Danio rerio: one gene and its partner. The protein of the gene in region 2 purifies or fractionates together with the protein of the main gene of each other region. This does not show direct contact. Links are inferred from orthologs where the notes say so. Each region holds a gene or a part of one and is shown on either strand. Other genes may lie near its edges. The genes, in order: exosc10 and exosc2.

Region 1 (16,502 bases), on a different chromosome or scaffold from region 2:
TGTCTTTCCTTTAATAAATTGTCACATCTAAGATCTGATTTCTTTAAAAATCAGCAATCTTCACTGCCTGTTAAAAATGCGATATGAAATGGGTCTCAGATTGGACAAGAGGCACTGCATTAAAGGGTCACGAAACAACAAAACATTTTTTTGAGCTGTTGACAGTCGTATATGTGTCCCACACTACTAAAAACACTATTAGGACAAATATTTCACTAAAAAGTGAAAATAGGTTGTTTTAGCGTTATTTCGAGCAAATTCGTTCTTCCAGTTTGAAACCAATTTTTGAAGCCGTGTCACGGCTATGAGATTTTAGCGTGTATTCCAGCGTGTAGACTGGACGTCTGTACCTGAGAGTGCCTTATTACGTCTCGGAGTGTGCTGCATTCATTCATGAGTAAGACTTGGTTTAAACCAATCAGCGCGCTCTATTGTGTATGCGGTGCAACCTCAGTAATATGCATGGTAGCTTTGAAGACTGTTTGTACCTGTACAGTGTTCAGACGGCAGAGAGACGCCACGTTGTGTTGCCAAGTGGGAGAACAAGAAATGTTTGGATACGAGTCATCAGTATTGTGTTTATAATTTGCTGCAGTGAAGGTTTTGTTTTTATTTTCCCTCTATGAGAGCGCAGCTGGACTCACGTGTGGATTACAGTGCACACAAAGCGCAACAGAAATACGCGTCTAAGGAACATTGTTTACAGTGTGAACAGTGTTTAAAGACAGACCTTAGTCAAATGATTTCTAAGTTAATAAAGTTTACCGTACGCTAATATCACTACAATACTATGGACTGAAAAATCTGCTGTAAATGCTGCTCTCCGAGTGTAAACATGTAAGAACCACAATCAAACTTACAGTCGTGTAGGATTTTCGCCGCATTTTGTGACAGGAATAACACACACGGCTTTCTGACGCTACCTGCCAAGTGCATCTAAGTTACTGAGAAATGTGGAGGATTTTTTCTCTCATTCGCAGTGCGGTATCAAACATTGCATGAAAAATACACGCTTTCAGCAATTCCTCGAATCAAATATCTGGTTTATCACTAGGGGCATGAATGAAACTCCTGAATGAAAGTGCCAAACTGCAGTTAAAGTCCACCATTTAATAATTTGGAAAATAATTCAATTACTGACATCCATGTAACCACAGTCACTGTCTTTCTGCCTTGCATCTGTGTGTTTGTTTTGCCTCAGTGTAAATCAGCGCAATTTTTCTAAAGTAGAGGTGTGAAAACACCCTGCTGAAACAAGGGGGTTTCATGGCCCTTTAAATTCCATTTCCCTTGCCATGTTTTATTTACCCCAGCATTTTCAATGGAATTTCTGCTACTAGCGTGTTGCTACTGACTGCGCTAGTGGTTATAATGATTTTTCATCTTGTTTTACGCTTAAATAACCAAATGAATGCTTAAGTCTATTTAACAGTATGTATTGTAATTACGTTACAACATCCATGCTGTAAAAGGAACCTTGTAAAATTGAAAAGTCACATTGAAATTTCACCGGAAGTTTATCGTTGGCTTTAAAGCTCTAGCTGTGCATAGGGCCTAAACTAAATTTTGCAGGCCACCGGTCCTCCAGGACTGAGTTCTAGCAGATGTTAAATTCTTCATATTCACCAAAAATCAGCCCACAAATACAAATGATCGTGCTGTAGGTGCTGGTTTCCTTGCACACTTACATGAGGGCAGAGGTTTGACTGCGTTGGGTTTGATGAAGATTTTACTGAGAAACGGAGTGTTGCTGTTGTCCACTTTATCTCTGAACTTGAGCTGTGGCCGCTGTATGTTTTTGGCAGCTAGAAGTTGAAAGGTCTGGGCTCGGCTACCTCCACCCTGCAAGGAAAATAAAATCTCAATGTCTAGTCAAACTGCAGCTATTATTATATTAATAAATTATTATTGTATTATAGAACATTATTCAACCCAAGGCATTGAAACAATCTGCAAATACAGGATTTTCGGAAGATCTTTTTGTTAGATTTCCAACAGTTTAGTGGCACATTACAAGTGATAAAGTCACTACGTAATACAATCCTTTTGAGAAACATGTTTTTTTTTTTTTTTTTTTTTTTACAAAAATGTCAGAATTATTCATCAATGCGGTTTTTAATTATTGTTGATCAAAATATTTTAAACAAAAAGTACTTGTACAAATATAATCCTTTATATAAAATGCCAAAAACAGATAAGTGGTGATGTAAAAAAAAAATGTGCAGGAAAACTAACCTTGCGATTCCAGCTAGACACAATGATTTTGGGTGGTTGATATCCTGCAGGCATCACTGGCTGCTGGGAGCGACTTACACCGGAGGCCTCATCCAGGAGAATCCCCTGCACAAACAAAGCAATAGGCAGAGTCATATATGTGGTGTGAACTTTTTTACGCAATTTCAAAGGATAATCAAATAGGGATGCTCCAAGAGGTTGGCCGGAGATCAGTATTGGCCGATTATCACATTTTATGAATCGATCGGTACTCGCCAATCTGACCGATCTCATGAACCGATCGATCGTGTTTGTTTAGTTTACACACAGAGGAAGACACACGCGCACTCGTCAGCAGTGCTGTAACACGTGAAGAGGTAAACGATGCATGTGGGTGTGAGTAATCACTGTGCTCATGCCACAACAGCTTAAATATAAAATTTATACAAACTATTGGCACGACTTGTGCGAGTGATATGTCTCTTTGTTGCAAGTGCAACCATTGTATGTCCAGCGTTTAAAGGTTCAGGACACCCCGGAGAACTTTTTTTTTTATATTAACAGATGTGTGTGTGTTGAGCATCAGTTAAGACAATGTTAGCACCTGTCAGCTTTAATTGTGGGAAAAACTGGATAATTTTGAGCTTTTGTCAGCTAATTTCAGCTTCCGGGTTTAAAATGATTTTTGGGGCGGGATCAAAATCGGCGACGTAGCGCAGTGATGATGACGCGTGCAAGTGCAATGATGACGCGTCGGTTTCTCATTATTAATCATAGCAGAGTTTTCTTATCCTATGAGAAGAGCCGACTGCTTAATTATTCTTGAGACCTGCCAGACCTGCCAGTGTCAAGCCCGAGCTGAGAGACACGGAAACCACGGCACAGTATTGAGCCGTTCATGAAGGCTCGTATGTGTTTGTTTCCATGATCCACTGGGTTTGTTGTATGTTTTCCCCCGCGATCTTGTCAGGGCCGATCATACAGCAAAGCTGTGTGTGTGCTGCTAGCATTTTTGTCGGGAGAGCAGCACGAGAATTAGAGAATGGCGGACGCTGTCTTTTATCAGGAGTTTGTTCACATTCAGACACATCGCCGTACAGCTGTGTTTGCCTAAATCCTCCAGATTACCAGCAGGGTTAATGGTTAAAATAGACAGGTCAGGAGACCTGCTGCACTGAGTCTGCTGGATACGGAGATTGAGGGAGAAGTCCTCATTTATAGTGTTTACATAAACACACATCTTTATAATGATATAAATTGTGGTTGTCTGTATATGAAATTACGAATAACAAATGTAGCAGGGCATTAAATCACTGTTCATTTCTTTGCATTTTAACTTTGTAAACTATAAACTGCAAATCATGGTGACAAAAGTGAATGAGCAATGAACAGACTGTGATAGTGTGAACATCACACAGTAATGTTCTAAGCATTATATTTGATAGGTTAAATGAATAGTGCAGTAAAGAAAATCCCTGCTCTCTCTTAGAGCTGCTGTGAGAGTGTCCTGAGCTCTGATCGTTGAGCTCCTATCAAGGAGATATTTTAATGGGCTTGCAGGTATTTATGCCTTTTACTTACAAAGACTGAAAGTTCTGTGTTTTTGATAATATTGCAAGTTCACCAAAAAGACTAGCTGGAAATATTAATGAAATAAATATTTTTACTCATTTTTTAATAATACAACTTTTCCTAATATAGGCCTAGTTATTGCAATAAACAGTAGTTTATAGGCCTACTTCCTTTAAGTAAATAAGTAATGTACTAATAGGTGTGAAGCTCAAACTCTTATCCATCAAATAAAGCCCATACACCAAACTTTTTCTTCATTGAAACATGTTGAATTCTTCTTCTGTCATTAGCAGTGTTTTTAAATAGCTTTTTCAGTCACTTCTAACCAATTTGTTTTACATGTTTTATTTATTATTTTCTGTAAACCTGTGTCTGACCATTACATGCCCAAACTAAATGGTAATGAGAGATATGGGATTATATGCAACATCCTTAATATTTTCTCTTAGGAAAGGAGACGTCTGCACTTAAGTATCATACTTAGAGGGAAAATGTGCTTTATGCACTATAAAGCTTGAAGCATCAGAATCGGTACTCGGTATCGGCCGATCACCATGACAAGGAATCAGTACTGAGTATCAGCTGCAAAAATCCTGATATGAGCATCACTAATTTCAAATGTAAACACAACAGCAGGGTTCCTATAAAAACGATTTATAGATAAATACATGGATAGATAAGAAAATAATTTAAGAATTATTTTAATCTGAATATCATTTTAAGTTTTAACAGGCATTATAAGAACAATCAATAATTTAGTATAATTCAAATATTAAAACAAATTTGCTCTCTCTCCCACATATGATAGCCTAACAAATTCCTGAGGTCTACTTCTGACAAAGTTTTTGAAGTTGTCATTTGAAACCAAATCTCTTACAATGTATATTGTCCCAACATGTTAGCCTTAGTTAAATGACTGGGAGTTGATGAGAGTAACTATAGATGTGAATATGGTACAGAAAAGTTGCATTTTGCTGAATGGAAACTAAAATTTAAAGCAATAACACAATAATCACTGATATTCCAGGAGATTAACAAAAATATATGAGCATTCCCTGACTTTCAGTGTCTGGAATAAACCTTCTCATTCTCAGCATTAACAGACATGCCAACAGGAAGCACTGAACCAGAACTTCAGCGATGTGTGCGTGTCAGTGAGAGACTCGTACCACTTTCTCCAGGATGGCATCATTTGCGTCCACCACCAGGTCAAAGCGGTCCTCCAGTCCAGTCAGTTTGTTCCGGTCTCTCATGTGGGATCTACAGCCATGGTGCTGCATTATCTGGCTCATACTGTCAGGAAAAAAAAAAGAAAAAGAAAAAAAAGAAAATTGCTTTGTCAGTCTCCAGTGAAGTAAACTTTACTGACACTGACATGATAAGCTTTATGCAGTATGCTGTGGCATATATATTTAAGAATACCTAGTAGTAGGGCTGCACAATATTGGAAAAATCTGACATTGCAATATATATAGAATTTTTTTTTTTTTTTTTTTTTTTTGCAATATTTACTATTCATATATACTATCAATGAATATAATTTTACCAGATGAATAGAATAGCTAGATTTGGAAAGATTTCATTCATTTAGATAGATTGAGATGATCAAGTCTGTTTCTGTCCAGTGCGTTTGCATAAATCATAATAAATTACAAGCATATATAAATACAGCAGAGCAAAGAGAAAAGGTGAATAGTGCTTAAAGGTTTTCTTATTCAGGTATAGAAATTTAACAATCAAACATAAAATAACATCGTCATCATTATAAAAATGATTTAAAAATTCTAATAAATATAATAAACAAAAATATATTTAATAATAATATCTTAATCTTTAATAATTTATTCAGATGCTGCTGTATCTATTGTGGATACACACATTGTAATATCAACGCTCAAACTATATATTGTCCACTGTCCAAGAACTCCTAAGTTCATATATAATACTAATAGTAATAATATTAAATATTATAACTAGTAGTAGTTTCCATTCAGTAAAATTCTAGTATATTTTAATAGCAGTTTTACATTTTACCAAAAGCTTTATGTAATTAAATTATTTTCTTATCAAAACTGTAACTATTAATGCATGCATGTTTAGAATTTACTGTCAAAACACGTTTACATGATGTTTGTACAAAAGGCCCTAAGATCACTTGTAAAATAATATTACCATTGCTGTAGTATTTATTTTACTAGTGTGGAAATTAATATTCTAACACCAATAATAGTCATCATCATCACCTTTGTATTATTATTATTATTACTATTATTAGCTTACTGCATTTCTCTGTTCATCTTTTACTAATTCTTATCATTTATACATATCATAACTACTTGAGTAATCTTAATGGCATCTGTAAACATTAAAAATACAATACATTTTACAATATTTATATAAAAAAACGTTAATTATGAAAAAAAATAGTAGGTTTATTTTATTGAATATTTAGTAATTGGCTAGTAGTATGATATACATGGTATTATACAATGCATGCATGTTCATGTTTTTTTTTTAATCGTAATAAATCAAACAAATGTTCACTTACAAAAAGCATTATTTGCTGGCTATCTCTGATTATGGTGTCATAGTGTTAACGACATTCTTTGAAGCATCTATTAGATGTTATAAAGCATCAAGGTAAATTTGATTTTATGCTTGCACATTCATTCATTTTTGAACACTTGTGACACGTTCCCTATATGTTTTAACATGGTACTTTCAATATTCGCTCTGAAATCACATGCAAGTATGACTTCAAAACAACATTAGAAACATTTAATTGACTGTGGACGATGTTGTACTTTAATATTCTTTGGCTACTAATATGATTTCCCCTATTAAGAATTTACAAGAAATACTTTTCTGAAGATATATTATTACGGAGAAAGTGCGATGTGCAAATATAAAAGCAACTTTACCTCAACCTGCAGCAGCATGTTTATCACGAGTGCGTAATGTTCCAATGTTTATTTTGCCCACAATGTGCTTGTAAATGGTGTTTCAGTGTTTGTAAACAATTCAGTGTTTATAATGAGTCTTTCGGTATTTGTTTATTGAGTGTTTTACCAGTGTAAGAGTCGGTCTCCTTGTGAGGCGCAGAACTGCTGGAAGGAGGAGAAACTGCGGTACAGATCAAACTCATCTCCCGCTGATGGAAGAGCAGCAGAGGCTTTGGTGGCGGACACCACCGCTCCAAGACCATGCTGAACACACACAAAAACAAACCTGCTTCAGCAACTACAATCATTACACGACAACATACGTGCATTTAATGATCGAAAAACACTCCGTGTCCACACATGTCTCTCTCAATCTCTCCACGCTGCGGTGTATTCACAGATAATGACAGCGCTGACACACATTCAAACAAACTACAAACCTTGACAAATGTGTCGACGTCTTTAAAGCCCGGACAAAACTCAGTTTCTGCCTCTGTTTCCTCTGCTGATGGAGAATGGTCGCTCTGTTTGGCCACGGCAGCGCTGCTCGAGGAGGCCGCCATGTTGAAAACATTAAATCGCGAAAGTGCAGCCGCACGAGAAAATCTTTTTCTTCTTTGGCAAAGCGTGTGTGGACGACCATGACAGCTGATATCGCCACCTGAAGGACACAATGAATACACTGAATATACTGTCGTTCAAAACACTATAAGCTTGGCGACATCTGCTGGTAAGAATTGCGAAACTGCAACGACACATTAGACCAAACATGTATAATACCACTGTTCACAAAATATTTTCTTTAAAGTGCAGTTTATTAATTACAAACTGATAATTAAATCTAATTAAACGTAGCCTGCCTTTATGTTAATTAATGTCGCCTGAAGCACTCTGTTAAATGCACTAATTTTCTTACACTAGCTTTTTATGTTTCTAAGTGCCATAAAATAGGGGATTTAACACGCAGTTAGCTATTTTTACACCAAGTTCAAAACAAAAACAATGATTTAATAAATAAATCCGCAAATATATAAATAAATGAGTAAATAATCCCTAAATTCCAGCATAAATAATTTTCTTTTTTTGGCCTAGTCTCTTAATTAATCTGGGGTCGCCACAGCAGAATGTTTTACGCAGCGGATGCCCTTCCAGCTGCTACCCATCACTGGGAAACATCCATATACTCACTCATTTACACTCATACATTTCGGACAATTTAGCTGAGGAAACCCACGTGAACACGGGGAGAACATGCAAACTCCACACAGAAACGCCAACTGAACGAGTCGAAGCTCGAACCAGCGACCTTCTTGCTGTGAGGCGATCGTGCTACACTGCACCACCGTGCAGCGCTGTAAAGAAATAAAACTTTAAATAAATAAATATGCAAATAAATAAATGTATAAAATTCACAAATTCATATATCAACAATTAGTGTGGGGCGGGCAGGTAATTAATTAAATAAAATACGAATTTTGGGGGAATAAGAAAACGCTGAACTGAAAGTTTATTTTTCTGCCCTTTCAAATGTTTATTTATTTCTTTAACAGTTGTGTATTTACTTTTCCCAATGGTCACCATTCTAATGAAAAAAAAAATCCAACATTTTTGTTTCTAACGATCAATCAATGAGGGGCGGGTATAGAGGACGACACCAAAAATATAATAATAATACACACACACACACACACACACACACACACACACACACACACACACACACACACACACACACACACACACACACACACACACACACACACACACACACACACACACACACAAATATATTATTAATATATATTTTTATTATTATTTTATATATAAATCCACAAATTCCTGCCTATATACATATTTAAAGAATTAATAGTGTGGGCAGATAAATAATTAAATTCATGTTAGGGGGAATAAGTAAATGGTAAATGCTAAACTGAAAGCTGTTTTATCTGCCCAAACAATTAATCATTTATGTATTTATTATTGCAGGAATATGTGTATATATTTATTTATTTGTTTGAGATTTATTTATTTATTTATTCATTGTCTTATCTATGAAGGAATTTATTTATTTATTTATTTATTTATTTATTTATTTATTTATTTATTTATTTATTTATTTATCTGAGTATTTATTTATTCATTGTTTAATTCATGCAGGAATTTACATATCTACTTATTTATATAAATATTTATTTCGGTATTTATTCATTTATTGTTTTATATACATAGGGATTTATTTATTTATTTATTTATTCATTCATTTGTTTGGATACTTATTTATTCATTTTTTATATATATAGGGATTTATTTATATATTTATTTGTTTGTTTGTTTGTTTTATTTGGGTATTTATTCATTTTTTTTATTTTTGCAGGAATTTATTTATTTGGGAATTTATTTATTCGTTGTTTGATTTCTGCAGGAATTTATTTATTTATTTATTTGCGTATTTATTTATTTGTTGTTTTATTTATGCAGGATTTCATAGATTTATTTACATATTTATCTATTCATATAAACTTTCAATTTATTCTAAATAATATACTTGCTTTGGGGGGGAAATTAAATTCCAGCATCCAGGCCAATAAAGCTTGTTTGTGAAATGTAGCTAATTTCACCAGAAATCTCAACATAAATTTTACACCCCCATTACGTCAAATATGTGTTCTGGAAAAGTAAACCGCATGCATACTGTCCTTTTCTTTCATGAATTTAATCCACCAATTTATTTTGGATGCATTGTTTGAAGTTTCAAAACTTAGCACAGATAACCCAGCATTGCATTTTTGTTTACACAGAATTTCCCCTTTTTTAATAGTGGTGTCTATTCCTCCATTAAAAAAATAAATAAACAAAAAATAAATTAAATAGTATTTGATCTAATTCTTTGTACATTGGATGGCATGTCTAGAGCTAGACACAGACAGAAATTCTGCTTTGGACAGTAAAAGCCCTCCCATTCAGGGATAAATCACTTTAAAGCAAGATATTCAATCTTGTCTTAGTTTGATTCATCATGGGTTGGAAATTAAGCACATTGCGTTCATTACAAAAGAAATGCTGCGCGGGCACGTCGACTTTTGCGTCATAACTATCCTGTTCGCTGATTGGTCGCTGTCAGCCATTGATACAAACAGCGCCACACACACACACGCACACACACATACATTTACATATCTATTAGCACGCCTGAAGCCACTTCATTTGTGTCAGTCTCATCACCTTCAGAGCAGGTGAATAGGCATTAAATATATTATACAGACTCACTGTAAACAACGACCTTCAGAGGCGCAGGAGAGACCAAACAGAGCCCGCGACTATCAGGTTTGGCTTAACTCTACAACTATTTGGGCTAATTGTTGACATCCACCTACTGTGCTGTTTGTGAGTGTAATAGGGTGAAGTTATGCCGTGTCATGGTGAGTGTAGAGATATGATCGTTTCATCATCATATAACGCTACCTTTAGCATCTTATACTGTTTACAGTTTCATTCAATTGCGATTCAATGAAGTCGTAAATATGTCACTTCCCCTTTCTGGGAGCGTAACGTTAGTGCAAAGTCCCAGTAAAGCTAGTAAATATTGTACACAGTATAAGGAGGTGTATGTTAATGTGTTATTTATTATATCAGAAAGATGTATGTGGGTCAAAAACCAAAATGCATTTTTACAAAGAACAATTGAAGTTTATTACAGCCATTATATATAAAATAAAGTAAATATATACACACACACACATATATATATATATATATATATATATATATATATATATATATATATATATATATATATATATATATATACAATACTACTTATACATTTTAGCATGATTCACAGAACACACCTATTAAAATATTGTTCAATGTAGAAATAGTTGAAAGTCTAAGAAAAATAGATGAATTATCTATAAAAATGTCATGAAACAATATACATTTTTCATATATTAAAGGTTTTCATTAGAAATTGCTGTACAGCCCAAAATACTCCTTATTTTTAAAATTTAAATCTCATACTTTCTTTAAAACCTTTAGCCATTTGGCATTAAGAAGTTTGTAGTGGTTTAAAATGGTATTTTGTATGATTACTTATAATGTTACAAGTTTAATTAAGTACTAGTTAGGACATTTTTTACATGAACGTATGCTTAACACTGAAAGATCATGGAATACAGTTTCCATCTAGGCATGTGCCGGTATAAGATTCTGACGGTATGATAACCTTGGCTAAAATTATCACAGTTTCATTGTATTGTGATTACTGCTCTAAAATATATTATTTTAAATGTCTGGGTAAAAAAAAAAAAAAAAAAACTTTTCTCCCTCATTGAACACAATATATTTTAATTTAAGAAACGTTTATAATATTTTGGAGCAGTAAACATGCCAGGCTAAATAATTTAAATGAATCATTAAGTTTTCATTAAGTCTTCATTAGTTTCAAAAACACTGATTTCTTTACAATTTAAAATGGCATCTTTGGAGATCTTTTCTGCTTAAAAATACTGTTATCCTAAAAAAGATATGTATAGGGTTATAAATTGACTTTTTTAATGTGATATAAGTTACAACATTGAATGTATTTGTGTTGCCTGTTTTTTCTGTGATGTGTGTAATGTGAACGCTGATGTGGTTGTGTGGTGAAGCCAAAGAAAAAATTCCACTTGTGGACGTAAAGTAAAGTAAAGTAAAGTAAAGTAAAGTAAAGTAAAGTAAAGTAAAGTAAAGTATCTTACATATACCATAGGAACGGTATTACAGAAAATGTTGGCGATTTTAAAACCTTGATTTTTTTCCAAACTGCGTTATACATTGTACATTGCCATATCGTCTTATGCCTATTTCCATCCATATTTTAACATTTTATTTTTACAAAAGTCACTTGAAATGAGAAAACTCATGAATTTCAGGCTTTCTATCTACTATACATCACGTTTTTGACATTTATACTTGTAATGTGGGTGTTAGGAAATTAGACAAGCCTGTTTTAAGTAGATGTGTATGTGTGTTTTTTGTTTTTGCATAATAACTGCACATAATAACTTAATATCTTTAATAATAACACAGGCCTTGTAAAGAAAATAAAATGTGTTTCATTTAAGTTTAATTTGATGGTGCTTCCATTACAGGAAAATAATGTACAGTTATTTTTAGCCTGCTGTATATTTCCCCAATTTCTGTTTAACGGAAAGAAAGTTTCTAAACATAATAGTTTTATTAACTAATTAGTAATAACTGATTTATTTTATATTTTCCATGATGATAATACATAATATTTTGCTGAATATTTTTCAAGATGCTAATATTCAGATTAAAGTGACATTTAAAGGCTTAACTAGGTTAATTAGGCAAACCATTGTATAACAATGGTTTGTTCTGTAGACAATTGAAATAATCTATTGCTGAAGGGAGGTAATAATATTAACCTTAAAATGTAAAAAAAAAAATTGCTTTTTATTCTAGCTGAAATAAAACAAATAAGACTTTCTCCAGAAGAAAACATATTATGGAAATACTGTGAAAAATTCCTTGTTCTGTTCAACTTCATTTGGGAAATATTTGGAAAAGAAAAAAAAAATCACAGAAGCGGTAATAATCTTGACTTGTATATGAAAATGTCTAGCTCCCTGAAAATCAGACTCCGACAAGTGAAGCATTTGCTTATAAAATGAATCAAATGTGTTTTATTCTGACTGCAGATTTAGTACTATGTCTGTCAAACTGGAGGACACCCTGAAAGATGAAAACCTGATCAAACGTTTAGAGGAGATAGCAAAAGACACGGCGCTGTTACATGGAGTGTTGATGCGGACCAAAGACACGCCAAACTCTCCTGAAGTAAGAGAACGTCTTTATCTACTTAGAAATATAATAAAGAAATGCATGTTTACTTGTGGTAAAATGTATGCAAAATATTTATTATGTTTATTGGTAAAAACTTATTATTATTATTATTATTATTATTATTATTATTATTATTATTATTATTATTATTATTATTATTATTATTTATAATGCTGAACCATGATTAATAAATGCTGTTCAAGTATTGTTCATTTAGAATTCATGTTAACTAACCACAAAACCTTAATGCAAAGCATGACAATTCATTGTTTAATGTGTGATATTATAACGTGTATTATTGTATTAAATGTATTATTATTTTCTGATGTATAGTACTTTTTGTTTATCTGCATAGGTTTTGAGCTAAATTTGTGGTTTTCATTTTATCTTAATACAAATAAAGCTTTCCCTTGTAGCATTTCAGAGCTAAAATGTCTAGTCCAGACTCATAGGTGGCAATTATTTTGTGAGTGTTTTGACTGAAGCACTGAGCGACATCTTGTCCCAGTCATGTCTGGAATTCTGTGTGTCCTCTGGCCGTTTTTGTTTCTGGATTATGGAGTGTTAGTTCTGCTTCATCGAGTGGACACTGTCAGAAACCTCTCGCTCAATCAGAAGTGACTGAATGGCTCTGGTGCTGTAGATGCATATTATAGTGTACACAAGATACATTTTTATTAATGTTTCAAATTGTCATTACCATTGAAAGCATGATTGGTTATTATGAAGCATGATCATTTTGTTCAGTGATATTAAATTTTCATATTATTATATCTCTAGTGCACTCAATTAAATCTGTGTTTGTGTTTGAAGTTTCTGAAAAAAGTTTGAGAGTTACACTAGTGTAACAACAGTTATAATGGGTTGATCTCTGCCAACAAACTTTTCCTTTTGTTTTGGAAGAAAAAATAATTTCCAACGCTTAAATTATGGCTGACAGAGTTAACGGGTGCATTTCATCTGGAAAAAAATCGGTATACCCCTATTGACAAGATTTTTTATTTGAAAAAAAAAAAAATAATTGGTCCCCTTTTTATTTCCTTTCTACAAACTTGTGAATAATATGTTCACTATGCCTTTAGTACCTACTTTTACCTTTGCAGAGCACTGGTGGTTGGTTGGTTGGTTGGGGGAATGCATGTTTATTTTATTGTTTAATTATTTGTATGACTGTTGGTTGTTTTTTTTTTTGTCTTATTGTTAAAATGTAAGGTTTATGTTTGTATATAAATATATGTAATATATATAATATATATATTTACAAGTAAATGTTTGCTAAAATTTCTTATAATAAAAATATTTAAACCATAAATCTGTATTTTTTGATAGGTGGTGAGTTATGCACCATTCACATTGTTTCCCACATCGGTGCCAGCAGCACTCTTTCATCAGGCACTGGCAGTGCAGACACAGTTTAACCGCTTGGTGGACCGGGTCAGCCAGAATCACAGTTTTTTAGAGGACACACTGGCCAGGTATAGTACGATTGCTCTGCTGCAGGTCGTCCCAAACTGAGGTTTCAGAGGCTGCACTCTTAGACCTTAACCATTTTTTTTTTACTGTGGAATACCGCCAACACTGTTGCCAGTTAGTCACTGTAATGGTCTGGTTGCAGTGAGCAGCCGGTTAAATACTGTACCCAAACCATAACTTTATTTGGCATTAACTCCACTGTGATATACACTCACCAGCCACTTTAACCTTACATGTTCATTGTCAGCAATAATACTCGGGTAGGCTGTGGCATTGACATGACACTCAATTGGTACTAATGGGCCCAAAGTGTGCCAAGAAAATATCCCCCACACCATTACACCACCACAAGCAGCCTGAACTGTTAATACAAGGCAAGACGGATCCATGCTTTTATGTTTCATGTTGCTTTTATGACGCTAAATTCTGACTCTACCATCTGAATATCGCAGCAGAAATGGAGACTCATCGGACCAGGCAACGTTTTTCCAATCTCCTATTGTCCAATTTTGATGAGCCAGCGCAAATTGTAGCCTCAGTTTCCTGTTTTTAGCTGACAAGAGTGTCAACCGGTGTGGTCTTCTGCTGCTGTAGCCCATCCGCCTCAAGGTTGGACGTGTTGTGTGTTCAGAGATGCTTTTTTTCATACCTTGGTTGTAACAAGTGTTTATTTGAGTTACTGTTGCATTTCTATCAGCTCAAACCAGTCTGGCCATTCTCCTCAGACCTCTGGCATCAACAAGGCATTTGCGCCCACAGAATTGCCGCTAACTGAATATTTTCTTTTTTTTCGGACCATTCTCTGTAAACCCTAGAGATGGTTGTGTGTAAAAATCCCAGTACTGTAGCTGAGCAGTTTCTGAAATGCTCAGACCAGCTCGCCTGGCACCAACAACCATGCCAGGTTCAAAGTAATTTTAATCAAATTTTGTCCCTATTCTGATGCTTGGTTTGAACTGCAGCAGATCATCTTGACCATGTCTACATGCCTAAATGCATTGAGTTGCTACCATGTGATTGGCTGATTAGAAAGTTGTGTTACAAGCAGTTGGACAGGTGTACCTAATAAAGTGGCCGGTGAGTGTAAATGTAATTGTTTTTATCGCTGTAAGTTATAATTTAAAAGTTATTGTGAATTAGTTAATATGATTTAAAGTAATGTTTTCTGTTAATGTTGAAATGTTATGAAAAATATTATGAAATGCAACTTTAATGTATTATAGTTTGATATTTTCCTTCGGCACACGGCTTTCAAAGATATTTGGTTTTTGGCTCCTCATACGAAAAAAATTGTGCATCCCTGTAATGGAGGCTTTACTGTTAGTAATAATGTTGCTGTATTAAGTATCTTTTTTTTATTACTTCAAAAGCACCATCAAAGTTGACGATTTTACAGCCAGACTTTTCAACATCTACAAACAAGTTCAGCAGGAGGGCCATGCTCAGGTATACCGGTAATTGTTTACCACTCATTTGCTGATTCATTTAAAGAGATAGTTCACCCAAAAATCAACAAACCCACTTTTTACTCATCCTCAAATGCTTTCAAACATTGACAAGTTTCTTTTTTCTGCTGAACACAAAAGAAGATACTGTGAAGAATGTTAGAAACTGGTAATCATTGACATCCAGCAGGAAAAACAAATACCATGGAAGTCAATGTTTACTAGTTTCCGGCATTTTTTTCTAAATATTTTCTTTTGTGTTAAACTGAATAAAAAAAAAAACAGGTTTGTGAATGATGAGTAGAATTTTGTTTTGTTTTGTGTAAATCAAATCCCTTTAAATTTCACGTAAAAAAGTTACATCACTGTTTAAATTCATAAAAAAAGAAAAGTAATCAATTTGTTATATAGATGTAAATCTTAATTTATTTAACTCCTCTTTCATTCAAGAAAATAGTAGTGGGTCTGAATCGCTCAGACTACATGTTAGACCACAGTCCAGACGGTCGAACATCTCTGAAGCAGATTGAAATCAACACTATTGCTGCGAGTTTTGGTGGTCTTGCTTCACGAACACCAGATGTCCATCGGTAAGTCTGACCATACATTTTAAGTGGACCTATTATGCAAAAAAAAAATCACTTTTATGAGTTGTTTAAACACAGTTGTGTGGCAACAATGTACTGCTATATCTGCTGTCTAATGGTAAAAAGTAATTAATTCTATTGTTGTAATCACACTTCATAAAAAACAATGTGATTCTCCCTTTGTACGTGTCATCAGACGGGGAAAACCCCACCCATTAGTGTCCCCACTCCATTAATCTCTTCCTTGTTGGCATAGACACCCCTGAGTGAGAAGCGGCCGTTAAGTTTTCAACCCCTACCTGCTGAAGATAATGCCAGCGACAAAGAGGCATTATAAATGTGGAGTTTTAGAATGCACAAATGAACACCGTAATCTCTTTAGACTACCTTTTTCTTAACCATTTTGTTGATATTTTCAGTTTTCA
Region 2 (16,497 bases):
ATGTGCCAGCCTGACCGCAGATCAGATCCCCGCCTTCTAGAGGTTAGAAGTGTTTCTAAGGCACTGTGGGATGTATGAAGGAGTCATCCTCATTCACAGAGTCAGCATTAATGCATGAACATCACTGCTGACGAGCTGTCAATCATTCTGACGTCACGTCAACATCAAACTCTCAAAGGAGAAGATATCAGCACATCAGAGGGGTCAGTGATGAACTCAGACGCTCTGGTGTGCGTGAAACTCTCAATGATCATCATTATTAGAGTTATTATGATAATTATTAGCCACTGGAAGAGTCTGGGAGTGCAGTAAACGCGTTTGGTGTGATCGTGGTGTCATTCAGTAAGCAGATGAGACCGTGTTTGTATCTCCTGATGCTCATTAAAGTCATGAATAAAGTGTGTGGATCTCACTGAAGCCCTCCAGGCTCTTCTGTGCAGATTTAACTCTTGCCTTTGGCTGTGGTGTTGAGTTCTGGTTAGTTGGTAAAGTCTCGTCACTTCCGCGTGCACTTCTCTCTCTCTGAGGCGGATTTAAACGCTCCTCTACCCGCCGCGTGTCTCCGCTGTCGGGCTCTTCTGCTCACCGGACACCCGCTCGGTTCCCCCGCAGTGTTTTAATGCTGGTTCTCGTCATGTTTTAGTAATATTTCATAACTTCCAGCACTTTTCTTCGCGTCGTTCGTCGTCGCAGGAACCGCCATGTTCGCGCACGCGAGCTGCGCCCGTGACGTCACGCGCCGCGCTCTTCCGCCAACAAGCGAAAACTTGTATTTTGTTTTGATGTGAACGCCTTGTAAGAAGTGTTTACCTATTGTTGTTGTCTCTAATATGAATAAATAATAATAAACAGTTAAAAATAAAAACGCTGCGGTTCCTGTACGCAGAAAACATATATTATACAAAACTGTAAGATTAATGCTCTCTTTAACATTCCTAATTAAAGACTTCAAACTTAAAGTGTATATGACTTATGATTCTCTAATTCAACAATATTATTAAATAATATTATATATTAATATAACATCATTCTGAATCATACTAAATTATACCTGATTGATATTTATTTCAATAATCTATTAATACAAAAATACTTCAACAAACTCCAAAATAGCTTTAATTTGATGCAACAGCGTTGAGTTTTACTGTCTTAAATATCAATAATATTTATTCTATTAGTATATATTATTATACAACTATATTAAATTCGATTGTATTTACATAGCACATTTAAAAACAACCATCATTGATTAAAGCACATCATAATGTCAGCACATAAATACATAATTATACGGTTATAATTTACAGCAATTAAATAAATCTGCTCTTTATAATAAGTGCATTACTGCTGAAGGTTGCAGAAGCGTTGCTCTATAGTTGTAGTTGTGTGATCACTGAAGCCCCCTGGTGGAATAAACACACAGAGCAGCGTCAGAAACACACTTAAGGGGTCAGTTCACACAGAAATAGAGATCTACTTTCATTTTAATTCATCTTAGTCCCTTATATATCAGAGGTCGCCATAGTGAAATGAATCACCAACTATTCCAGCATGTGTTTTACACAGCGGATGCCCTTTCAGTTGCAACCCAGGGCTGGGAAACACCCATACACACTCATTCACACACACACACTCATACACTACAGCCAGTGTAGTTGATCAGTTCCCCTATAGCGCATGTGTTTGGACTGTGGGGGAAACCGGAGCACCCGGAGGAAACCCTCACCAACACGGGGAGAACATGCAAACTCCACACAGAAACACCAACTGACCCAGCCGAGACTCAAACCAGAGACCTTCTTGCTGTGAGCACACAGTGCGACACCACTGAGCCACCGTTCCACCCTAATCCTCATTTGCTCTGCTTCTAAACACCTATGGGTTTCTTCTGTCGAATACAAAATAAGATACTCTGAAGAATGCTGCCGCTGCCTTCAATAGCAGGAATAAAGACGATGAAAGTCAATGTGTGTTTCTCCAGCACTCTTCAGGTTGAGAGAATGATCAACACACACACACACACACACACACACACACACACACACACACACACACACACACACACACACACACACACACACACACACGCACACGCACACACACGCTTTGGGTGTTATAACAAATTTATTACAAAATATGAATAATGTGGTGTGTGTTATATGCATTATATATAGAGCGGTGTTTCAGCCTTCATGCTCCATCAGACGCTGCCGTGTTTCCAGAACAATCTCCTCCATGATCTCCGGCTTCAGGATGTCTTTAATCTGGAGAACAGCAAAGATACTGAGAATGAAGAGCTGCACACACACGCTTAGAGACAGACAGACTGTCAGACAGTCAAAGCGACAGACAGACAGACAGACAGACGTGTGTTGAGACCTGGTGTTGCAGTGACGCCTCATAGCAGTACAGCACACTGGTGTCGAACAGCAGCACCTTCTGATTGGCCAGAGCCAGGAGACAGTTCCTGAGCCTAGAGACCACCTCACGATCCGACAGAGACACAGGCTGCGCGCACGCACACACAAACACACACACACACACACACACGCGCACAAGTTGTTATATTTAGATCACACACAACATTATACACATTTCTGTCCCTGTAAACCACCAAAACCAGTACAGACACACACACCCAATCATTCACACACACACTATCCCAAACACACACACACCCACTTACCCACACATGCATGCATGCATGCATACACTCACGTATATGCACGCGCGCGCACACACACACACACACACACACACACACACACACACACACACGCACACGCACACGCACACGCACACGCACACGCACACGCACACGCACACGCACAAGCACAAGCACAAGCACAAGCACAAGCACAAGCACGCGCGCGCGCGCGCACACACACACACACATGCACATCCATTCCCACAATCAATCCCACACACACACCCTATCCCAAACACACACACACACACACACACAATGCTAATCCCACACACACACTATCCCAAACACACACGCCCACTTACCTACACAAGCATGCATGCATACACTCACGCATATGCATGCATGCACACACACACACGCGCGCACACACACACACACACACACGCGCGCGCACACACACACACACGCGCGCGCGCACACACGCACATCCATTCCCACAATCAATCCCACACACACAATGCTAATCTCTCTCTCTCTCTCTCTTTCTTTCTCTCTCTCTCTCTCTCTCTCTCTCTCTCTCTCTCACACACACACACACCTCCATGCTGGTGTAGAATCCTCCGGCCTGCTCCTCCTGCAGTGCCGGTGTGGGACTCAGCCACACGTATCCATTGTTCCCCAGGATCAGCGACGCTCCGCAGGGCAGATTGTGGAAGTGTGTCTTCTGCCTCTTCACCAGCGACGGAGACACATACACCAGCACACCCTGACCCAGCTGAAAAACAACCCAGACCAGCAGCTCTTCAGTGTTGTTAGATGGGTTTGACTGGTTCTGACTGATCTACGGTGTCTGCACTGAGAGAGGACAGTAGAGCGCTCTGGAGAGAGGATTACTGTAACAGAGAAATCTGGGGGACTCAGCACAGTATATAAGGCTCTACACGCTCACCTTGCCGTACTTCAGACTGCGCGTGTGCAGAGAGAGAGCGCCGTCCGAGAAGATCGACTGAACCTCCGCCTTACACACGTTAAAGAATACAGTAGAATATATACAGATGAAGACAGAATTATTAGCCTCCTGTGACATTTGATCTATTTTGCAAATATTATATTTTATTTTTCCCAGGTAATGCCTAGTTATAGGTTTACTAACAAAAATAAATAAGGCTGGAAAAATGATTCATGCTAAATTAGACAAATAAGTGCTAATATTAATGACTTTTTATTTCCAAAACTCAAATATAAATGTATTTATTAAACAAGCACTAATAAAAAAGGTCATATTTTACAGTCATTTATAATAGGTATTAGCATTGAAAGAAAGCTAACATTTTTATTATATATTTCAGCTTTCTTTCAATGCTGATACCTATTTTAAATGACTGTATTTTTACAGTAAGAACACTGTTTGTATATCCAGGGATGATGAATGTCTGATGCGGTAAATGTGGAGGATACACTGATGAGATCTCCTTCCTGCAGATAATCCCTCATGGCCAGCTCATCCTGCGTGGAACGACGTCTCTGAGAAAAAAACACACACACACACACACACAATAGTAATTGATCTGTTGTGGTGATTCTACAGTTGCTATAATAACAAAACAACTACAGTAATTGATCTATTGTGGTGATTCTACAGTTGCTATGGTAACACCACAATAGTGATTGATCTGTTGTGGTGATTCTACAGTTGCTATGGTAACACAACAACTATAGTAATTGATCTTTTGTGCTGATTCTACAGTTGCTATGGTAACACAACCACAATAGTCATTGATCTGTTGTGGCCATTCTACAGTTGCTATGGTAGCACAACCTCAATAGTAATTGATCTGTTGTGGTGATTCTACAGTTGCTATGGTAACACAAACACAAAAGTAATTGTTCTGTTGTGGTGATTTTACAGTTGCTATGGTAACAAAACAACTACAGTAATTGATCTGTTGTGGTGATTCTACAGTTGCTATGGTAACACAACAACTATAGTAATTGATCTGTTGTGGCCATTCTACAGTTGCTATGGTAACACAACCACAATAGTAATTGCTCTGATGTGGTAATTCTACAGTTGCTATGGTAACACAACAACTATAATAATATAAACAAACAAGCCAACTGCGGGGTATTTATCAGTCCACTATAGTTAATGGTAGAGAGTGCGGGAGCATTCATTAAAGTATTGTAACTGAGTTGTGTGTGAACTGCCCCTTGAATGCGTGTTGCCAGCTCACCAGCTCTCCTCCAGGCAGATTGACCGCCGACAGCAGCAGCACTGAATCCAGACGCGAGTTAGTCTCCACTTTCCATCGCTTCTGCTGCACCTTAACATTTAGAGATGCACATCATCATCATCATCATCATCATCATCATCATCATCATCAACAACAACAACGAGAGATTTTATACATAAACTACTGAACACCACTGACCTCAGTGATTCTGCCCACAACCACATCACCCACCTCTCCGTTATACCTGCAGGAGGAGAACATCACATCTAGAACACAGTATTACCACAGCATTATACATTAGTGAAGTGCAGTGTGCTATACTGTAGTGCACAGGTCTCTAACTCCTGGAGGGCCGCAGCTCTGCACAGTTTTGCTCCAAGCCAATCAAACACAGTTGATCAGGGTTGGGGCACATTGTGCAGAGCTGCGGCCCTCCAGGAATTTAGTTTGAGACCTGTGCTGTGGCGTTAGTGTAAGTCAGTGTGCACCTGGTCTTCAGCGGTTTCACACAGATGAGTTTGTTGACTCGCTCCACCTGTCCTGCCACTGAAGCGGTGAGTCTGTCTTCATCCATGTAGGTGCCGTGACCCCTGAGGACGAGGTGAAGTCAGATGAAAACGGTTTTTATCTTCGCACAATTGGAATTTCACATTCAATAAGACAGTAAAGCAAAATTTAAAGGGCTCTTGTTTCACCCCAGCGATGATGGATTGACCGGCACATTTATATGCTCTTTCTACTAATTAATTAAAGCCTTTGCTTTGGATGTATAATGAATGCATTGATCTAAAATTTAGATAATTAGCGTGCAATCACGCTCATCACTATTGACAATAAAATTTTAGCCTTGATATTTGCTAACAGATTAAAGATTTCAGCTGATTGCTGAAACACAGTCCGGCTTTGTAGGAGCTAGACACATCAGTAATAATATTACAGTTTTTTAGACCTTTTCGATTATGCAGACTATAAACATCACAAGCTATGATTCTATTCCTAGACTGCTATAAAACATTTATTAAGCCATATTAACATTGCTGTTTAAGCTTGACTTTCATGTTTGGCCATTTCTAAATGGATGTGAAAAATACTTTAATAATCACACACAAGTTCTCACCATGAGCTCAGGTTTATTATTTCAGATATAGACACGCAAGAGTGCACGCAAAAAGAGAAAGTTGGGGCACTCGGAAATTAATTAATAGTTAATTTTGTTACAGATTTTTAGTAAAACATTTACACTTCTGCTTTTGACAGATAATGTAAGGATTGTTTTTGTAAATAAAATGGAAACGCATGATCCAGTTCTGAATTTAATATACTCTGATTCCAATTTGACCTTGGAGAAAGTTCGAATCGTCCATGAAGAAAGGTAAATCTCCCAGCAATGATGGATTATCCGTCAAGATTGGTATGCTCTTTCCACAAATTAATTAAAAACCCTTTGCTTTGGATGTATAATGAATGCATTGATCTAATAGACAAGACAAGACATCATCAATGAAACGAGGTGTTCCCAAACCGATAATTGGTGTCCATCACGCTCATCACTGTTGACGATAAATTTATTTTTGATATTTCCTAACAGATTAAAGATAAAGAATCAGTCAGCTGATTGTGGAGACACAGTCCGGCTTTGTAAGAGCTAGACACATCAGTAATAATATTAGACTTGTCTTGGACCTTTTAGATTTTGAGCAATTCCATGCAAATGTCAACCTTGCCATAAAATAAACAAATACATTCTTCACAAAAACACCAAACCCTTTCCCGGTGTTTTGAGTAGGCTTGTATTTTACAGCACTGTTAAAATGTCACATCCATAATGCATAATCGCTCTCATGCAGACTTTATCCTATCATTACAACTCTATGATACTAGTCCCTGACGTTTATAAAGCATGGACTTCTTATGCAGACTGTGAAGTTCTGTTTTGGTGACTTTGTTAGTCAATGCTATTGAAATGTTTTACTGGCACATTAGAGGTTCTGTTTTAACCCATTAACAATCAACGTCTCAGTGGCAGGACGATTAAGTTTAATTCACTATACTGCATTTAAATACTAATCTAATCATGACAAACTATATAATCGCTGGAAAGGCCATTTAAACAAGTTTTAATCCTTAACCCTACAACCTGTGGGAATGTTTGCGGTTGCATTTTTAAAGCATAATATTACAGTCTAAACATAGAGCACTTTTATCAAATAATATATCATTTAAAATCTTTCTAGTATTTATATCTGATGACTGATTTTTCAGAGTTGTGAAGCATTACTTTGCTACAGCAATCCACAATTGAGGTAAAGTGGGTTTTATATTGGCACATTCAGACTTTCTTCTTAATAATACAGTTTCAAAAAAGTAATCTTTACAAATTTTAATAATGAACTCATATCAGCAGCCAATGACTATCAGAGTACAACATTGTTTACAGTCAATTAAATAGTGCTGATGTTGTTTTTAAGTCAAACTACATGCGATTTCAGACCGAATACTCAAAGTACAATACAGGCAACGTGTCACAAGTTATCACCGTTCAAAAATGAACGAACGTGCAAATACAAACCAACTTTACCTCAATCAATACACATGTAAATAATGTATTTTAAAAGTAACGTAACGCGTCACCGTAAAAAGTAACGCAACTAGTTACTTTCCAGAAGAGTCTGTCAGTAAAGTAACTTTCTCCAACACTGAACAAATACACTACATACACTAACTTGAGTTCTCAATCAAGTCCGCTACAGACTGACAGACTGCAGGTCTCAACGAGTTCACTCCACACACACACACACACACACACACACACACACACACACACACACACACACACACACACACACACACACACACACACACACACACACACACACACACACACACACACACACACACACACACACACACACACACACACACACACACACACACACACACACACACACATTTATTCTACAACAGCTCAGTTAATACCAGTTATTAATGTCTGTGTACCTCATGAAGCCCGTGTCGGAGGTGATCACATCTCCAGGCACAACCAGGTGTTTGTCTTCGCGGGAACTCTGTCCTGTTTTCAGGGAAACGTGTTTGTGAACCGCTGGAAGCCGCATCTCCACCGCCATGCTTCAACAACACTATAGCCGGGCAATATGGCGGCGAGCACGGCTCCACTTCATAATAAAAGCCCGACTGTGTTCGTGTTCGGTTTGAGCATCTAATCATCTGAATTTGGTCATTAAATAACGATTTAAGTTCGTGTTATACAATGTGTGAGGTTTTATTTTGTAACGAGAATTAAGAGACTTTTTATATTTAACATTTTAAATGACAATATAGCAAAACTTTAATACATTAAAACATTAAGTTAACATTATATGCTCTAACAAAATAATTTTATACTTTTCAGAACCAATTTGCTTTCTACATTTATTTTTGTTATTCTTTTATTGTGTAAACACAGGTTCTTAAAAGAATGAGATTATATAAATAATCATGTATTATTATGTTTATTATTATTATTATTATTATTATATTTATTATTATATTTGTTACTATTTACACATTTTCATACACCTAAATATCTTTTATGTATTGTTTTATTGTGTGAATTGATCTCGTGGCCTAGATATTTACTGTATCTAGTAAATTGTTTAAATTTGTATATATTTATTAATATAAATTTGTATAGATTTATTGTATATATATTTATCACTGTTCTGATTCTTTAATTATTTCTTGATGTTTTTAGCATTCTTTTAACCCCATTTACAGTATTGTTTGTTATTTTCACTCATTTGTCTATTGTTTTGTTTTATATTTACTCTTTTGTGTATTCCTGGAGTCATAAATTTTCTATTTCACAGTTTATTATTTTATTAATAAACCATAAAGTGGGCGGGGTCTCTCGTGTCTTCCGGAGGCGTGACTAATCGATGCTGAACTCTCCGGTTCTTCGGCAGCTCTTCTCGTCAGTCCTTGGGGAATCATGAGCACGGCTTCGGGATTCGGGAAAGCACTGGTCATCATCACCGGGGCATCCCGGGGCTTCGGCCGAGCTCTGGCTCTGTCGGTGGCGGCACGTGTATCTCCGGGCTCAGTACTGGTGCTCGCGGCTCGGTCGGAGGAGCAGCTGCTGGAGCTGAAGAGCGCGCTGACCCGCGGGGAGACCGGCCTCACCGTCCGCTGCGTCCCGGTGGATTTGGGCTGTGAAGCAGGAGTGGAAAAACTCATTGCCGAGACCAGAGATATCCAGCCGGACATCCAGCACCTGCTGCTCTTCCATAACGCCGGTCAGAGAACACTCAACGTTCCCTTAACGTTAGATTTTGATTCCTGTTAACGTTAGTTTTTTAAAGCCAAAGATAACGTTTTGCGAATTCTTTTTAGATTTAACTTTTTTTCCAACCATAAAACAACTTTCCCAGAACTTCAAGAGGGGACACGTAAAAAAAAAAAACAAAAAAAAAAACATACATAACCTTTATGATTTGATTTGTTTTGTATGTTTGATGTTTGTTTTCATGTAATTCATGAGCTATATTTTGCAGAATTACAGAACTAAATTTGTAAATACAGCATTTATGAAAATTTTAAATTAATCAAGATGTGGAATAATTAGTTAAATATTAAAATAGTCATAAATGATTTACTCAGTAATAATGAGGAACGTTAGATGGCATCAAAACCTCACATTTATTTGAATTTCTGTTCTGCGCGCCTAAATTCTAACGGTCAAAACCTTCATTTAAAAATCAACCGTCGTTTTGTAACGGCCTGACTCACTATAGCTATACTTTCTCGTCTTGTTATCGAATAATTCCATGTAACGTAAAATTTATTTTTTATTATTGAATACCTGACATAAGGTGAGCCTAACGTAACGTGAAACCGCTTGTCTACAGACCAAAGAGAAAGGCATGTCTAAACCTCAGTTCAGTGGTAAGCATTCAATGTATAATATATCCTTTGTTATCTCAATGGTTTGTTGATGTGATTGTTTCGGTTGTTTATGTCTGTGGATACATTTAGTGTTGTATAGAGATTGTTTTGAAATCATTACTTGGTGTGAGGAAACGTAACATCTCTGTAAAGTTAAATGTTACCCCGTGATGAAATAACTTAAACCTTGCACAAGGAAGGACAACAAATGTTCCTAAAGTGCTTGAGTTTTATAAGTGCTGGACTAAGATCTCTTCCATATATATATTTATATATACATCTAAATATATTTCTTTATATATTTTGCCAAAAGAGTAAACCTGTTTCTGCGTTTTTTGTGTGTGTGTGTTTGTATTTTACAGTGCTTTAAAAATACTCAAAAATGTAATTGTCTGTGTTTTCAAACTATTATATTTGATTTACCAAAGTCACATTGCTCATCCGTCACATCCATAATGGAGAGATGTCACATCCATAACAAAGCTTTTTCCTCATAAATGCAAAAATCTAAAACCAAATAAAATCAATCATGGTTGTTCTATAGTGAGCCAACTCTTATCCTTTTGATTGCAGTTTAATTCACAGAATTTCTACAAAGTATGTTGTATACTGCAAACTTGGACTTTTTTTGTCACATCCATAACGCATGTATATTTCCCTAATTTAAAATATAAAATTGGTATTTTTCTGCTCCCACAACTCTGGCCATGTTGTTTTGAAAAATATAAACATATGTTTCAATATAATGTTAACATATACTTCCTCTGTCGATTTATGTTTTGAGATTTTACTGCAAATGTCACATCCATAACGCTGGAACTGCTGGAACTTTTACTCCATAACTTTTCTGTTCTCTAACTCCGTGTTTCCCAACTCTGTTCCTGAAGGCACACAAACAGTTCACATTTTATACCTCGTCCTAATCAAACACACCTGAATCAGCTCATCAGAATAAGGCAGACGTTGACAATATGCACTGTTGGTGGTGTGCCTCTAGGAACAGGTTTGGGAAACACTGCTTTATCTGTCCTCTTGACTTTGTATAAGCGATTGATATTCTGCTGCTGTGTGTCCTGCAGCTTCTCTCGGTGATGTGTCTCGTTACTGTCGTGATTTCACCAATATGGAAGAGCTGAACTCATACCTGTCGCTGAATGTAAGCTCCGCCCTCTGTCTGACGGCGGGAGTCCTCCGCACATACCCGAAGCGCTCCGGGCTGACCCGCGTCATCGTGAACATCAGCTCGCTGTGTGCACTCCGGCCTTTCCCCACCTGGGTTCAGTACTGCAGCGGCAAGGCGGCACGCGACATGATGTTCCGCGTCCTCGCAGAGGAGGAGCCGGAGCTCCGAGTGCTGAACTACGCTCCAGGTACATAATGAGCATCATGGTGAGAATATTAGCTGTGTTTTCGTCCACCTATTGTTATGTGGATTACTGCACTACACTTCTCTCAGCGTTATTTCTGCATTTTTAGCAGGAACTGAGGGTTTTGCTCAGTGGTTTTGCACTGTGGCATCACAGCAAGAAGGTTGCTGGTTTGAGTCTCGGCTGGGTCAGTTTCTGTGTGGAGTTTGCATGTTCTCCCCGTGTTGGCGTGGGTTTCTTCCGGGTGCTCCGGTTTTCCCCACAGTCCAAACACATGCGCTATAGGGGAACTGATGACTAAACTGACAGCGTGTGTATGGGTGTTTCCCAGTACTGGGTTGCGGTTGAAAGGGCATCCGCTGTGTAAAACATGCTGGAATAGTTGTCGGTTCATTCCGATGTGCATTCGTTTCTATGCAGTTTTATAAATGAGAGCCCTGCTTCATTTTCATCATAGTAACAGTTTTTCAATACAGCAGATGGCCACTTCCAAAACAAGACCAGAACATTAATAAAAGCACACATTACACAGGCACTCATTATGCACAGTTTATTAAGCCATAACTGATAATAATGGTGTCATGCACTTGCACAATGAGTACATTCACCCCAGCTCACAGCAGCACACAATTAGGTTTGAGCTTGCAGGTAAGTCAGTGTTAAGCAAGCCAGGATGCATTTGGCATTTATTTAGTCCAGACTAAAGAAACCAATAGAACTGAACTGAATGTGAACACACCAGAGCTTTCAGTAATAACCGTGAGCAATGTATCACTATTGTATTTTAAATCTCAAAACTGATTTTTGCCATTACGTTTTAAAGCACCATGTAAACAATGTGATGGTGCGGTCATGAAATAATCAGGAGAACCAAACCACATCTGGTGGACTAAAAGAAGGATTTGTCTTGGATCTTCTTGTGATACCAATGGCATATTAAAATACCAGGCGTGATTATTTTCCTGGCTGGCAGATAAAAGTAGAGCATGATCGAAATCTCACTGCTCAATCAGATAAGGAACATTTTATTTTATGACCTGATTATCTGATATGATCATTTGCTCTGGAAGTTCCCTAAAGCAGACGTGTGTAAAATCATTCAAAAATAGTTATAACACGTTCAGTAGGGAATATATTATACATTATTTTTTAATAATTCAGAGGAACAGAGAGCATTATTGTGTACAGTTGCTGAATCTACAGTTCAGGTGTTGCATTTTAGACATTTGTCAGGTTTTTGCATTCAAATAAAATTGTAATACAGCCTTTTCTGATTTGATTTATAGTGGTTTGTTAAAATTGGGTGTCTGTTTAGCCAAGCATGTTTTAGTAAATTTATTTAATGCCAAATTGTAACGGTAAATTAATGAATGTAATTCGCATGTGGCTTTATGAACTGTTTTAAAAGAACATTTGTAATAGAGTAATTTATTATTTTACTTTCCTGTTTTCACCATCATTTCATTCTTGTTTCGTAGAAAACTTGATATTTTCAGCAAAATGACTCAATAAGGGGGTGGCGCAGTAGGTAGTGCTGTTGCCTCAAAGCAAGAAGGTAGCTGATTTGAGCTTCGGCTGGGTCAGTTGGCGTTTCCGTGTGGAGTTTGCATGTTCTCCCTGCGTTTGCGTGGGTTTCCTCCGGGTTCTCCGGTTTCCCCCACAGTCCAAACACATGCGGTACAGGTGAATTGGGTAGGCTAAATTGTCTGTAGTGAATGTGTGTGTGGATGTTTTCCAGTGATGGGTTGCGGCTGGAAGGGCATCTGCTGCGTAAAAACTTGCTGGATAAGTTGGCGGTTCATTCCGCTGTGGCAACCCCAGATTAATAAAGGGACTAAGCCGACAAGAAAATGAATGAATGAATGTTCTGTAGATTATGTTCTGTAGATTTATCACATCCTTCAGTGATCTTCGTGTCACACTTGCTTGTTCATTTTTTAAGTAGTGATCAAGGTCTGCTATGCAAATGAGGTCTTAAAGGTGATATATTATTAATTATGAATGCAAACTAACTTAAATGTATCATTAGAAATTTAAAAGTGTGAAAAAGCTGAATAATCAGACATTGAATATACACTGTAGACTTGCATTGAGACTCTGAAGGCTTTAATGTGAACTTTACTCCCTACTTATGGCTAAAATAATCAATATAAAACTATTTTCTGGCTATCAGCTCTGATCAGGGTAAACATGAACTAAACTGGAGGTGATTTGAGAAGAAATTCAACTATGAAAGTGATTTATTGAGCTCATGATCTTTCACGCGTCATGGGATTGATGCTCAGAGGCGTTCAGGCCTTCAGCTGATGTGTGTGTGTGTGTGTGTGTGTGTGTGTGTGTGTGTGCTTACTCTGACATGGCTTGAAAGGAATTTTTTAACTTGGTAGCATTGGCATTCTCAACTTCAAAAAATTAGGAGCAACCACCAAAATTGATTGAGCACCACTACAAATTGTAGATTAACAGATTTATTGTATTGGAAAACAACAACAATCTAACTAAAGCTAGTGTTTGTGTGTATCTTCTCTGTGACTCCCGCAGGTCCTCTAGACACAGATATGCAGCGTGAGGCGCGGAGCAGCTGCGCAGACTCTGAGCTGAGAAACACCTTCAGCCAGATGCATGCCAACGGGCAGCTGCTGACCTGCGATCAGTCCATTCAGAAGCTGATGAGCGTGCTGCTGGAGGACAAGTACAGCTCCGGAGAACACCTGGACTACTATGACCTGTAGATCGCTGACACGTAAACACACTCACACACAGAAAAGGAGTCTCTCAGACAAACACACACAATAGGAGACTTTCTCACACACACACAGAATAGACTCCTAAAACACACACAGAGACAGAACAGGAGTCTCTCGTACAGGAGTCAAGTAATTGCTATTATATATATATATATATATATAAATAATTGCTAATACTTCGCTTGTTTTAAGGATAATCTCTCTTCATTTTGACTCATTATTTCTGAAAACAAGACTATATTGCTTGCTGGTCTAGAAAATGCTTCTTGGTTCAATAATTATATTGATATTTTGGACTAGAAACAAGACAGAAACTCAAAATCGGAAGCATTTTTCTGCATTGTAAGCCTTTCATTTGCATATTATCAGTAAGTGTGAGTCGTGAGTTGCTGCAGATTTTTGTTTCAGTATGTTGACATTTCCAACTAAAACTGAATATTAAGTAGGGGCGGAGTTTTATTTATAAGCCCCGCCTCTCATATTTCACTTGGAGCTAACTGATAGTTGAAGGGGTGTGGCTAAGCATATTTCAGCCAGTCAGAGTGAGACAGTTTCTCCAGAGCAGATAATTTATATTTAAATATTATCTAAATAAACTGCTTTACAGAAGGTTAATTATTAACCTCAAGACTAACTATGTGTGCTAGCCAAATAAACACTCTACATTTTAAATTCTTTACTATTTTGTTACTAAAACATGAGATTGTATGACAATAGATATATAATGTGATTATTAATGTATGAGCACTTACAGTGTGTATTAAAGGATTCAGAATGTTTTACATTAGTATGCATTGAGGAATCTATGTAAACATCAGAGTGTGTTTATGATTAATGATGATTAACCCATGATTACAGTGCCTTGGTATTAAAGTGAACTGCAGATGACTGAGAGTTCTGGACCAAATATATACTGTTTACTGATTATATATCTGCTGCCTTTCGTTATAAAATAATGACAAATGCTCTAAATTTAAATGAAAGCTTTCGTAATTCCAGATGTTGTATTCAGCATTTTATATTCCTTTTTTAATTGCCAGCCAAATACACAATTGAAGACAATTATTATTATTTTAATTATTTTTCAAATATTTCCCCAAGTGCTCTTTAACAGATTTTTAAGTGATATATTTAAGAACTCGTCTCTAATAACTGATTTCTCTTATCTCATAGCTCATAAAATTAGACTAGATGTTCTTCAAGACACTGGTATGCAGCTTAAAGTGACATTTAAAGGCTTAATTAGGGTAAAGTTAGGGTAATTAGGCAAGTCATTAAATAACAGTGGTTTGATCTGGATCTTTGACAATCCAACACTAATTTTGCTGAAGGGGGTTAAAAATGTTGACCTTAAAACGGGTTTAAACCGCTTTCATTCTTGCTGAAATAAAACTAATCAGACTTTCTCCAAAAGAACAAATATTAGAGGAAACACTGTGAACAATTCCTGAATCTGTTCAACATCATTTGGGGAATATTTGAAGAAGAACACATATTTCATAGGAGAGATAATAATTTTGTCTTCAACTGTAGGTATTCTTAATATATAATATCTTAATAATACGAAACTTTATTAATGTTTTTTAAGATTTTTCTTTCTATAATCAAAGCGTTTTATGATGTGTACTTTGATTCATTAAATATAATAATGTATAAATTGATAATAATTGTGAATGTTTGCTGTCATTAATGTCCTGTTTGTTCTTTAATACACTTCTGTAACGTCAGATGAATAAAAGCGCTCCTGCGCTGCTTCTCTGTCATGTCTGTGCTGATTATGTCCAATTTTCCTGCTGTAAGTGAATGATGAAGCACACACACACACACACACAGCTGTTTGTACACTTCTGAAAATCAATCAAGTTTGTAAGCCATATTTACACACAGCAGATGGAAATAATGAAATGAAGATTATAATGGCCTTCTTAGGAACCATCTTCAGACATCAACTTATTTATGTATTAATTATTAAGTTCTTGGTGGATTTTATTTCTTGATTTTTATTTATTTATTGTTTGCAACAAACTATTTGGCCCCTTAGGCTATTTAGTTTTTGCACCACAACAAAATATTTAGCCCCCTAGAAAGTAGATTATTTTTGAGAATGTAAACACAACATTTACAAAAAAGTTGTGTTAGATCAGGGGATCACAAACTTTTCAGCCTTTGACCACCAAAATAACAATGCCAGTGACTCGTGACCTCCAATATGCTCTGAGGTGGTTTTACATAGACAAACCTTGCATGCAACAGAGCAAACACACCAACAGGCTCAAGTATATTTGTCATTTAATTTTGGAGAACGCCACTCAGAGGTCATCCTCCATGTTCAGTTGTGGCCTGTATTTATTTTTAATGTACATGCGTACTGTAAAGGTTTAACTTGGTGCTATAAAATCAGTCTGGTGCTATTGCTGTGCCTTTAAAATAGTGCACTCGACCTAGGGGCCGCAACACATGCATGTGTTTTTTTTTTTTTACAGTAACTAATAACTATTATTTTTATCTTCTGTGGGTTATGAGTAAAATGTGTTAATCCTAATAGTTCAATAAAATTA

The links.
Region 1: the proteins of exosc2 (region 2) and exosc10 fractionate together in Homo sapiens (co-fractionation; 9 studies listed by BioGRID and IntAct, with this or other methods). This does not show direct contact. The link is inferred for Danio rerio from reciprocal best matches to the Homo sapiens genes EXOSC2 and EXOSC10.

The regions. Positions count from the first base shown.
Region 1 is NC_133198.1:16,304,551-16,321,052, reverse strand, and holds the start of exosc10 (exosome complex component 10), read right to left. Parts: upstream 7,354-16,502; 5' UTR 7,292-7,353; coding exon 7,169-7,291; intron 6,993-7,168; coding exon 6,856-6,992; intron 5,080-6,855; coding exon 4,956-5,079; intron 2,341-4,955; coding exon 2,236-2,340; intron 1,843-2,235; coding exon 1,689-1,842; intron 1-1,688. UniProt on the Homo sapiens protein: Catalytic component of the RNA exosome complex which has 3'->5' exoribonuclease activity and participates in a multitude of cellular RNA processing and degradation events.
Region 2 is NC_133180.1:78,497,667-78,514,163, reverse strand, and holds exosc2 (exosome complex component RRP4), read right to left. Parts: upstream 8,076-16,497; 5' UTR 8,010-8,075; coding exon 7,882-8,009; intron 5,475-7,881; coding exon 5,373-5,474; intron 5,129-5,372; coding exon 5,083-5,128; intron 4,975-5,082; coding exon 4,885-4,974; intron 4,175-4,884; coding exon 4,109-4,174; intron 3,669-4,108; coding exon 3,600-3,668; intron 3,426-3,599; coding exon 3,249-3,425; intron 2,509-3,248; coding exon 2,380-2,508; intron 2,265-2,379; coding exon 2,184-2,264; 3' UTR 2,109-2,183; downstream 1-2,108. Other genes in the region: spra (sepiapterin reductase a), read left to right, coding at 8,873-9,176, 10,905-11,195, 13,734-13,924. UniProt on the Homo sapiens protein: Non-catalytic component of the RNA exosome complex which has 3'->5' exoribonuclease activity and participates in a multitude of cellular RNA processing and degradation events.